Linked DNA regions of Daphnia pulex. The protein of the gene in region 1 binds, or shares a complex with, the protein of each later gene. Links are inferred from orthologs where the notes say so. Each region holds a gene or a part of one and is shown on either strand. Other genes may lie near its edges.

Region 1 (3,817 bases):
GCTGTACTCGTCGCCGCGCAGTTTGGCTACGATACAAAGCAAGCATTTGACACAACTGTGGCCATTTTGGAGATGAATTTTTCGTTGTGTCGGGGTGGAATTACCTCTCGCTCGTCCCTTGCGACTCGTTTCGTGTTTGACAATGTCGACCACGTCCGAAACAGCATCGCTGAAACCAATATCGTGCGCCCGCCGTGGAGGCAAAGGAGACATGTCTCTCCTATGTCGCCAAGATGAGACACAATTACATGTTAACCTCTTAAAGAAACTAAGATGTTGAGTCAAAGTGATTTGATTTAGTAAGATCGAGTAAGATTTAGTTAATTACAGCCACCGTCTGAAGATCTATATTTCGCTATAATTCGCTATAATTTACGTACCTTATGGTGTTCTATAAGCGACGTCATGTCTAATTCATTGTGATTACCTGTAGTGAGGTTGTGGAGAGTGAGATCGTCGCAAAGCGCAAGGTGAAGGTGACCAGGCCCTGCTGTTTGGTCGGTGCATGCCAGCCTCACCCTCAGGCTTGAGTCGGTGCATGACTTTGCTTGCGGATTCAACCGACGGCGGCCGTGAATCGTGCTGGTGATCGAGTTGATCCGTCAGTATCTCCAGGGCCTGTACATTTCAATAAGGGGGAAAGGGCATTCCATTAAAAGTCGTCTGCCAGGAGGATCTCACCACATTGGATCGACAACTCATAAAGCTGCCAAAAGTGCGAAAACAAATGAACTCAGCTCAAAAACTCGGAAATGATTTTTTTCGAAGTTTTCTACCACTATAATATGTACAAAATGAGTATGCGAATAATACACCGAGATGCGCCCAAACCAACTACGAGGGACGTAGGATTGATGTAAAAAAGCGTAATAATGTAGTAAGAAAATAGAGAAGAAAAATAAGGTAAATAGAAGAGCCCCGTATACTGTACAAGCTACACACCTACCTGGTGAACATCATTTGAAGTGTAAAGACTCATTTTCTTATTGGATATATAAATAATGGTAAGGAAAATAAATGTTGAAAAAAAAAGTTAATAAGATCAAATGGCAAACATCAAATCGTGACTTACCGTAACCTTTTACGCAACAAACAAACAGGTAACCTAAAATATATAGACTGGAGGGTCTCTGAAAAATGTTTCTCGCTTAGTTCTTTTTCCCATTGCAAAAGAGTCTCATAGTTGGCTGAATTTTTTAAGAAAGAACAAAAATCCAGTCATTTTTTTGATTTATAGAACTCGGCAAGAGCTCATAAAGCAGATGACCAATATTTGGCGTATTTTTTTTTTTTTTTTTTTTTTTTTGTACGTAGTCGAATGTGTTGCAAAATAGAATGAAGTATATCAGTCTGGATAAACAGCACAAAATTAAGCTACAGAATGGGATAACAAGTCCACGATTCTACAATAATGGTCACAATGGTTCACAGTTGGGTAACCAGTGGACTCCAATCGTACGAGTTGCTTCACTAACAATGCCAATGACAAGCCTTGGCCGTTTTTTGAGAATAACTTGTGTCAAGTCGAAAAAGAAGTAGGGTGGATTCAATGGAAATGCAGACCTTCAATTTAGTACCGAAGGTTGAGGAAACGTTGTTGTTTTAAGATTAAATTTGTAGTGTGTTGTCTGTGTGTTCTACTCGAGAGATACGTGTTGCTGTAGTAAGTAGCTAACGTTATAGTCATTGCACATCCATCCAGTCGACAGCTTACTAGGTCTAATACTACGTCTGACTAACACCACACTATCACCACCGTCACAAGTCATTCTATGCGCCTTAGTCCATTCGGCATCACTGCCATAGGTCACCTTGTTAGAGCTGCAATAAATCAATAGAAAAGAAAAACAGTTGAGTTTGAAGTTGGTAAAGGCACAGGTGAAGTGATATTTGTTTTACCTTGAGGAATTAGGCTGGTTGGAGAAAACTGCGGCGAAGCGATCGGGGGCGGGGGCTCCCGGAATGAGATCGATTACCGTGCTAGCCTCTTTCTCCTCTTGGTGAATTCCGCCGCTGCCGTGGTTTGCCAAGGTGGTGGAACCGGAGTTGGAATTAGGGTGAGAATGGGAATGAGGGTGACTTAGCGAGCCTTTGTTGCTGCCCGTGCGGGCCATACTTCCCATTAAGCGTTCGAAGAGCGACTGTTTCTGTTGTTACGTATCGAATTGCGGCCCAAATCGAGCCAGTCGCAAGGGTTGATGGCGATAATTTAAAAAACAAACAAGAGAAAATCAAATTTTAAGGTAGAAGAAAAAAAGGAATATACCGGTATACCAAGACCAAGACTCAAGCAAATCAGAATAGATAATGCTTATGAGAAAAAAAGTGAGACAGCATGTCGCAAAATTTGCATCATTCTTAATGGTATTGTCATGACATTTTTTTTCCTTTTGAATTTTCGATTGGCTTTGTGTTTGACGTCCACCGTCAAACGCAAAATCAATGTCTCTTGAAATGTCTAAAGCGTTTTAAAAAAATTGCCTATTCATCTAGTTTTTGGCAAGATAGTGATGATGAGAGCGCTCATAAAAGAGATCCTTCTCCATTTAAAATGTTTAATAAGCATTTATTTTTTTTTTTTTTTTGTTTTTTGTAAAATTCAAATTGTGGTTCATTCACGATTTTGAATCGTTAGTTATTACAATTGATGAAAAATATTTCTTTAGCGAGCGATATCTCTCGGCACTTTTTTTGTGTACGGTATACATAAATATACCGGCAATTGCATGTTTTTTTTTTAAGAATAAGCATAACTTAAAGTGTCGTATAACAAGCACTAGTTAGTTGCTTCATATTATTAAGCTTTTAAAAAGATTTGACATATTATTATGTACATTGGAATCAGATCGATCCAGAAGAAGAAGAAAAAAGTATGTTCTATATGTAGGCTATTTATCGCGCCAAATGCAAAAATAGTTGTGGTACTGTTCAGGAAGAAAACCTCTGAATTAACTGATTTCTGCAGATTATTTTCTGTTGATTTTGCTGTCGGTGTTTGGATGGGAGGGAGATGGAAGTTAAACTAAGGATAAAATCATGCAATCCATTGAATCATGCTATGAAACATGTGCCTTCGAAGGAGAGTCAATATATAATGGTTGAAAACGAACGAAATATTTCAAGGATGATAGAACAACATAGAACCCATCCCTTGACGGACCATTTACCTGTTTTTCGATTTGCTTTTCATGTTGAAATTGTCCTAAAAGCGTCAGTCGTTGACTGAAACTCAATAACTAGGTCTAGAAATCTTATGCACAGCAACATTTAGATCACATTCAACGAGCGCATGCCAATAAAGATCCTATCTACTGCCAACCGACTAGCTGAAAACACATAAATAACTAGTACAAATCAAAGCTGAAGGATAGTCAAAAAATAAACATTCTTATTTTAGCCTGAAGCGGATCTGAGAAAAAGAAAGCTCTTTAAAAAAAATCGTTCTTAGAGATATTCAAGCGTGGGTGAAATGGCAGAGATCGAGAAGAAGAGATTTTGTTGGTTTTTGGTTTTTTTGTTTGAAACGATTGAGATTTGAGATTACTACCGCTTCAGGAGCAGAACACTGAGCGGTGGTCGGCTTCTCCTGGAAAAATGCACAACCAACCAAGAGATATCCATTTGAGCGACGAAACCACCGTAATGCAGAGAGAAAAAGAGAGGAAGAAAAAGGCGGTGTGTTTTGTGAATGAAATAAATAAAGAAAAAAATAAAAGACAAATTAGAGACGCGGAGTTAAATAAAGGCTAAATAAAAATCATTGGATCACACACTGAAATGAAAAAAAGAAAAAAAAAAGAAACAAAAACAATGAATG
Region 2 (4,517 bases), on another chromosome or scaffold:
TGTTTTAACTTTAGTTTGTATCCTGTTGTCTTCCAGGCCGGCACCAATAATATGCCATCCACCACCACCACCACAAAATGGAAAAGGATTTAGAGAAGACGAGCCGGAATCGATCCATTTCCGGCGGGGAGAGCAACAACAATGAAGAACTGGTTTCGATGGACGTCGAGGAGGAATCGGAAGCCTCCACCGCTTCCAGTTTGAACCAACAACAACAGCAACAACAACAACGGAAGCTCTGGCGGAGTAAATCCACCGTCCGGTCGCAAGAGTCGAGTCTGGAAGCGGCGACGGCCGTCACCAACGACGAGTTAAAAGAACTCAAACAATGGTTCCAGGTACAAAATATAATCAAATATGTAACATCTGTCCAGTTTCTTTGTAACATCTTTGCCTAAAGAAAGAAAAGCCTTTCGGCCCAGCTGAAAAGGAATTATTTATTATTTTTCTCCTTTTTCTTCCCCCTCTCCTGTGGAATGCTGGACACGGCCGGGGGCAAAGAGAAAACGAGTCCAGACTGTTCAAATGACTTTTTGGCTTGGTGGTGGTTGTACATAAAAGAAATTCCAATTTATCTCTCGATGCCGAGTGTGTCTGTGTGCGTGGCGGACGGACAATTTCACGTAGGCGGGCGATTTGAATGATGAGGAATCGTTTGTGCAATTGTGTGTCGACCACCCCCCAACACAAACAAGTTTGCCCGTTACGCCATTTTCACGGCTCATTTGACGTTTCACAAAAGAAAAAAAAAATTAATTTTTTTTATTGGCCGTTGGCGGCCCGGAATTGCTTGTTTTTTATTATATTTCTGCCCGTCTCTTTTTTTGTTGTTGTGAAAGATGATGATGATCATCTGGCGGGAAATTTAAAGTGGGCACAAATAAATAAATAAAAAGAAAACTAGTTGGTCGCCTGGAGGCGAACTGGCCGTCTTCCAGACGGGCCAAAAAGAAAAACAAACAAATTTCAAGTTATTTCTAATTTTATTCTGGCCGTGTGATGAATTGAATTTTCCATTTGATTTGATTTTTACAGTGGGAGAAGAGTCTGTCGATCGACGCGGCCATCCACCAGGAGCGTCTGGTTTGGCAGCGGCAGCAGCGCGGGACGCGGTGCGGAACGGTGGCGGAGAACGAGCGGCTCAAGGAGCGGGTCCAGGTGCTGGGCCACGAGAATTACGAATTGACTCGGATGCTGAAAAACGAGCAAATCCGCAACCGAGACGAAGACGCCAGTCAGCGGCGCTGCCTACGCCAGGCGGCCGCCAAAGCCCGGCTGGAGACCAGGGCCGCCCGTCGGCTCCAGGTCATGGAAGCTGCCGCCGTCCAGCAAGCCCAGCTGCAAATCAAACAGCTTGAAGAGGTTTTATTCAACAAAAACAAATCAAATCTATTTCCTTTTTTAAATTCAATTTCCTTTTGCTGGACAACAGACGATCGACGAAAAAGATAAATCGATCGCCAAACTGGAAGCGGAAAAATATTACCTGGGCGAACGCGTTTTCGAATTGACTGGAGTCGAGGAAGGTTTCTGGAGCGACGAGGTTTTGGTAAATAACAAAAAAAAAAAACAATTTGGATTTTTCACACTTTTATCATTTCCGGATTCCATTAATCCTCGTTTAACTGGAACACAAATAGTTCGATAATGACGTGTGGGATTTTTAGACACGACCGTGAAATCCTACACCCCCCCGGGTGGGAGGAGGGATTTTTATTCTATAGCGTCAAATGGAATAATAGCACCTGCGTTTTTATTTATTTTGAAATGAAAGGCGAGTCGTCGTCGTCGTTTTTCATTTTTCTATAAAAGACGGACGTTTACATTGGGTCGAGTTTAGTCACAACTTATCCGGCGTCACTTGCAAGTTGCCCGTCTCTTTCGCCACATGTGTGCACAGTTTATGCACTGCCAGATGCGGGATTGACGTCATTCGCCCGTTTTTTGTTCAACCGGATTGGATTTCGTCCACTTTTTGAAAGAAAGAAAAATGGCTGACGGATGGATTCCGGCGGACAATGGAGGAGCCCACAAGGATCTCAGGAGGAGGATCTCGAATTCGGCCCAAAGTTTGAACCGATTCGTCCGGCTGCCCAAACCCAAAAAGTGTCGATCGTGGGGCCGTCAGTTGTTGCGACGCTGGTCCAGCAGCGGTGCCAGTCTTTTCGGAGGATTTTTCGCTTCCACTCCGTCGGCCGGTGGATCCTGCGGGAGGAGTGACGTGAGGAATCCGGATTCTCCTCCTCGGTCGCTGGACGCGGATGTTTTCGCTTCGCTGTCGTCGGATTACGTCCACTTTGGGACGGCCACGCCCCCTCCTAAGCCTCCGCGAGTCCGTCGGTGGTCGACAGTCAGCGATGGATCCTGCCCAACCGACTGTGAAGGATCGCTCACTTCTGTGCAGTCGAGCGGATTACTGCAAGAGGAGGAGGAGGAGCGACGGTTGTTGTTTTTAAGGTTCCAGCTGGCGGCGGGCGCAGCTGGATGTTGTTCCAGCGTCGAGTTGTCGGTTGGGCCGGCAGATGGCGTCGGCCAATCCTCAGGTGCCGTCGCCGACGACGTGGGAGAAGAAATCCAAGGGGCGGAGTCATTGCGGACGAGTGGCGATGAAACGCATCCATCCGGTGCGGATGAAGAAGATGACGACGACCAGCACGACGACGGCAGCAGCAACGGCCACGACTGGATCGTCACGAAAAGAAAACTGTTGCGTCCATTATCACCGCCGCCGGCCACCTCTCACCACCACACCCACGGTGACTTCCGCTTGGAGGACGCCCGTCTCTTGTGGCTGGGCTGGCGACTAGGCCGTCCGGAGGTATGAAGGCCTTTGCCCGGTCGCATCCGCAATTCCGCTCACGATTTCAACCCCTTCCAAAAAAATAGAAATCGATGGGCCGCCTCTTAGATCACTGGGTTTTATTTGCATAGACGGCCCGGAAGGAGTCAGAGGGGACTACAGAGTTGTTCAAACACTTTTGGAATTTTTATTATTTATTCCGGCGGATTATTTTCTTTTTCTGAGATTGCCGCTGGCCCATTTGTTGCGGTTTGATGGACGGAAGAATAGAAGAAGAAATATCACCCGGCCCGGATTGCGTGCTGGGCGACGACCCCGAAAAAATTTCAAAACGACAATTGTCAAATTTTTTGACGGCCTTCAACTTTATTTTTTTTGATTTATTTTGGCGTGTCCGTCGGTTATTATTATTTGGCCGTTCCAACTGCGATTGGTCCGTTTCTTTTTCTACAAAAAGAAAAAATGGCCACGGTCACTCTCCTTTTGTGGTTTACATTTTTTTTTTTAAAGACGGCCCTGTCCAATTTTTTCCTACGAATGGAAAGAGAATGGAAGAATCTTTTGGAAAAACTGGAAGAACTTCCGTTCGGCCTTGAGGGTTTTACATCCCCGACACATTACGTCAAGTTAGGAGTGGGGGGGAGAGAAAAAGTTAATTAACTCTGGTCCCGGAAGTCGCAGTGAATAGAAAATTTTTTTTTTAAATTTAATTAGAATTAGAATTAAATTATTTGAATTTTAATAAAATTTACAATTCCATTTGGCGGAATTGAAAGGAAAAGAGGAATTTAGACGAATAGCAGTTGCCACTACTGTTGTTGTTGTCAATGTTGTTGAGGGTTTCTCTGTTGGGTTGTGCTGGGCCGTGTGTACCTGGCCGTGTCCGGGGGGCCAACGGGAAATGCCTGGAGGAATGTTTTTTTAATTTTCACGTTTTATTATAACCCTCCTCCCACTTTTCTCCCTTCCCCCCTCTTCCTACCATCCTACCATCCACCTTCTGGTTTTCCAGCAGCAACAATTGGGTAAAGTCATTCGCTGCTGCCGGCCAGCCGAATCAGTTCATGTCGAAACTTCATTGACTCGAGTTTATTTTTATTTTTCTTTGCCCGTCTCTCTTTGTGTGCCCGTTTGTTAGTTTGAATCGAACTGAGAGTGGAAGAAAACGATTTAATTTTTTGGATTATTTCGCCCGTCTGTGATTGTTAGTTTTGTTAGTTTTGCCCGGCTGAAATTGGATTTTCAAAATTTTGATTCAGACGAAGCCGGTGATATCGGAACGAGAGCGCGGACTATTGCAACGGGCCAACAGCCTCAATATCCACATCAGTCAGCTGCAACGGAACCAACGGATCTTGTCCAGCGAGAATGAGCAATTGGTGAACACAAATCAAACCAAACCAACTGGCCCGTCGTGGGAAAATCAAATTTTCATTTTTATATTTTTTCTTTTGTCATTTGTTTAGAAACGTCAAATGGAGATGGAAAGAGAGCGGCCGGCCGGCCAGCTGCAACGGGAACGTGAGCGTCAGCAAGAGCTGCAACTGCTGCGCAGGAAAAATGCCGAGCTGGCCATGCAGACGAAGAAACTGGAAGAGAAAGTCCGCAGTCTGGAAAAGGTATGAGATTCTTTTTCTTCTTTGAACAAAAAGAAACTGCTACTGGTGCATCCGGTACATCCGGAAACTCTGCACTTATTTCTCACTCTGACGTCCGT

Evidence for each region.
Region 2: the proteins of voltage-dependent calcium channel type A subunit alpha-1-like (region 1) and uncharacterized protein LOC124203590 are in contact, whole or in part, in a crystal structure (PDB 4Z8A), measured with the Drosophila melanogaster proteins. The link is inferred for Daphnia pulex from reciprocal best matches to the Drosophila melanogaster genes cac and Rbp. Residues at the interface, in NP_001245639.1 of Drosophila melanogaster: Ile1688, Gly1689, Arg1690, Arg1691, Leu1692, Pro1693, Pro1694, Thr1695, Pro1696, Lys1698, Pro1699, Ser1700, Thr1701, Leu1702; in NP_732029.4 of Drosophila melanogaster: Ile1353, Leu1355, Tyr1356, Tyr1358, Leu1363, Pro1365, Asn1366, Val1367, Asp1368, Val1372, Glu1373, Thr1378, Gly1379, Asp1391, Gly1392, Phe1393, Leu1404, Pro1406, Ser1407, Asn1408, Phe1409.

What each region holds. Positions count from the first base shown.
Region 1 is NC_060024.1:7,077,852-7,081,668, forward strand, and holds part of voltage-dependent calcium channel type A subunit alpha-1-like, read right to left. Parts: intron 3,587-3,817; coding exon of another isoform or gene 3,548-3,586; intron 2,148-3,547; coding exon 1,900-2,147; intron 1,822-1,899; coding exon 1,812-1,821; intron 619-1,811; coding exon 428-618; intron 221-427; coding exon 105-220; intron 27-104; coding exon 1-26. UniProt on the Drosophila melanogaster protein: Voltage-sensitive calcium channels (VSCC) mediate the entry of calcium ions into excitable cells and are also involved in a variety of calcium-dependent processes, including muscle contraction, neurotransmitter release, gene expression, cell motility, cell division and cell death.
Region 2 is NC_060026.1:13,166,405-13,170,921, reverse strand, and holds the start of uncharacterized protein LOC124203590, read left to right. Parts: upstream 1-1,590; 5' UTR 1,591-1,990; coding exon 1,991-2,818; intron 2,819-4,059; coding exon 4,060-4,179; intron 4,180-4,266; coding exon 4,267-4,419; intron 4,420-4,517.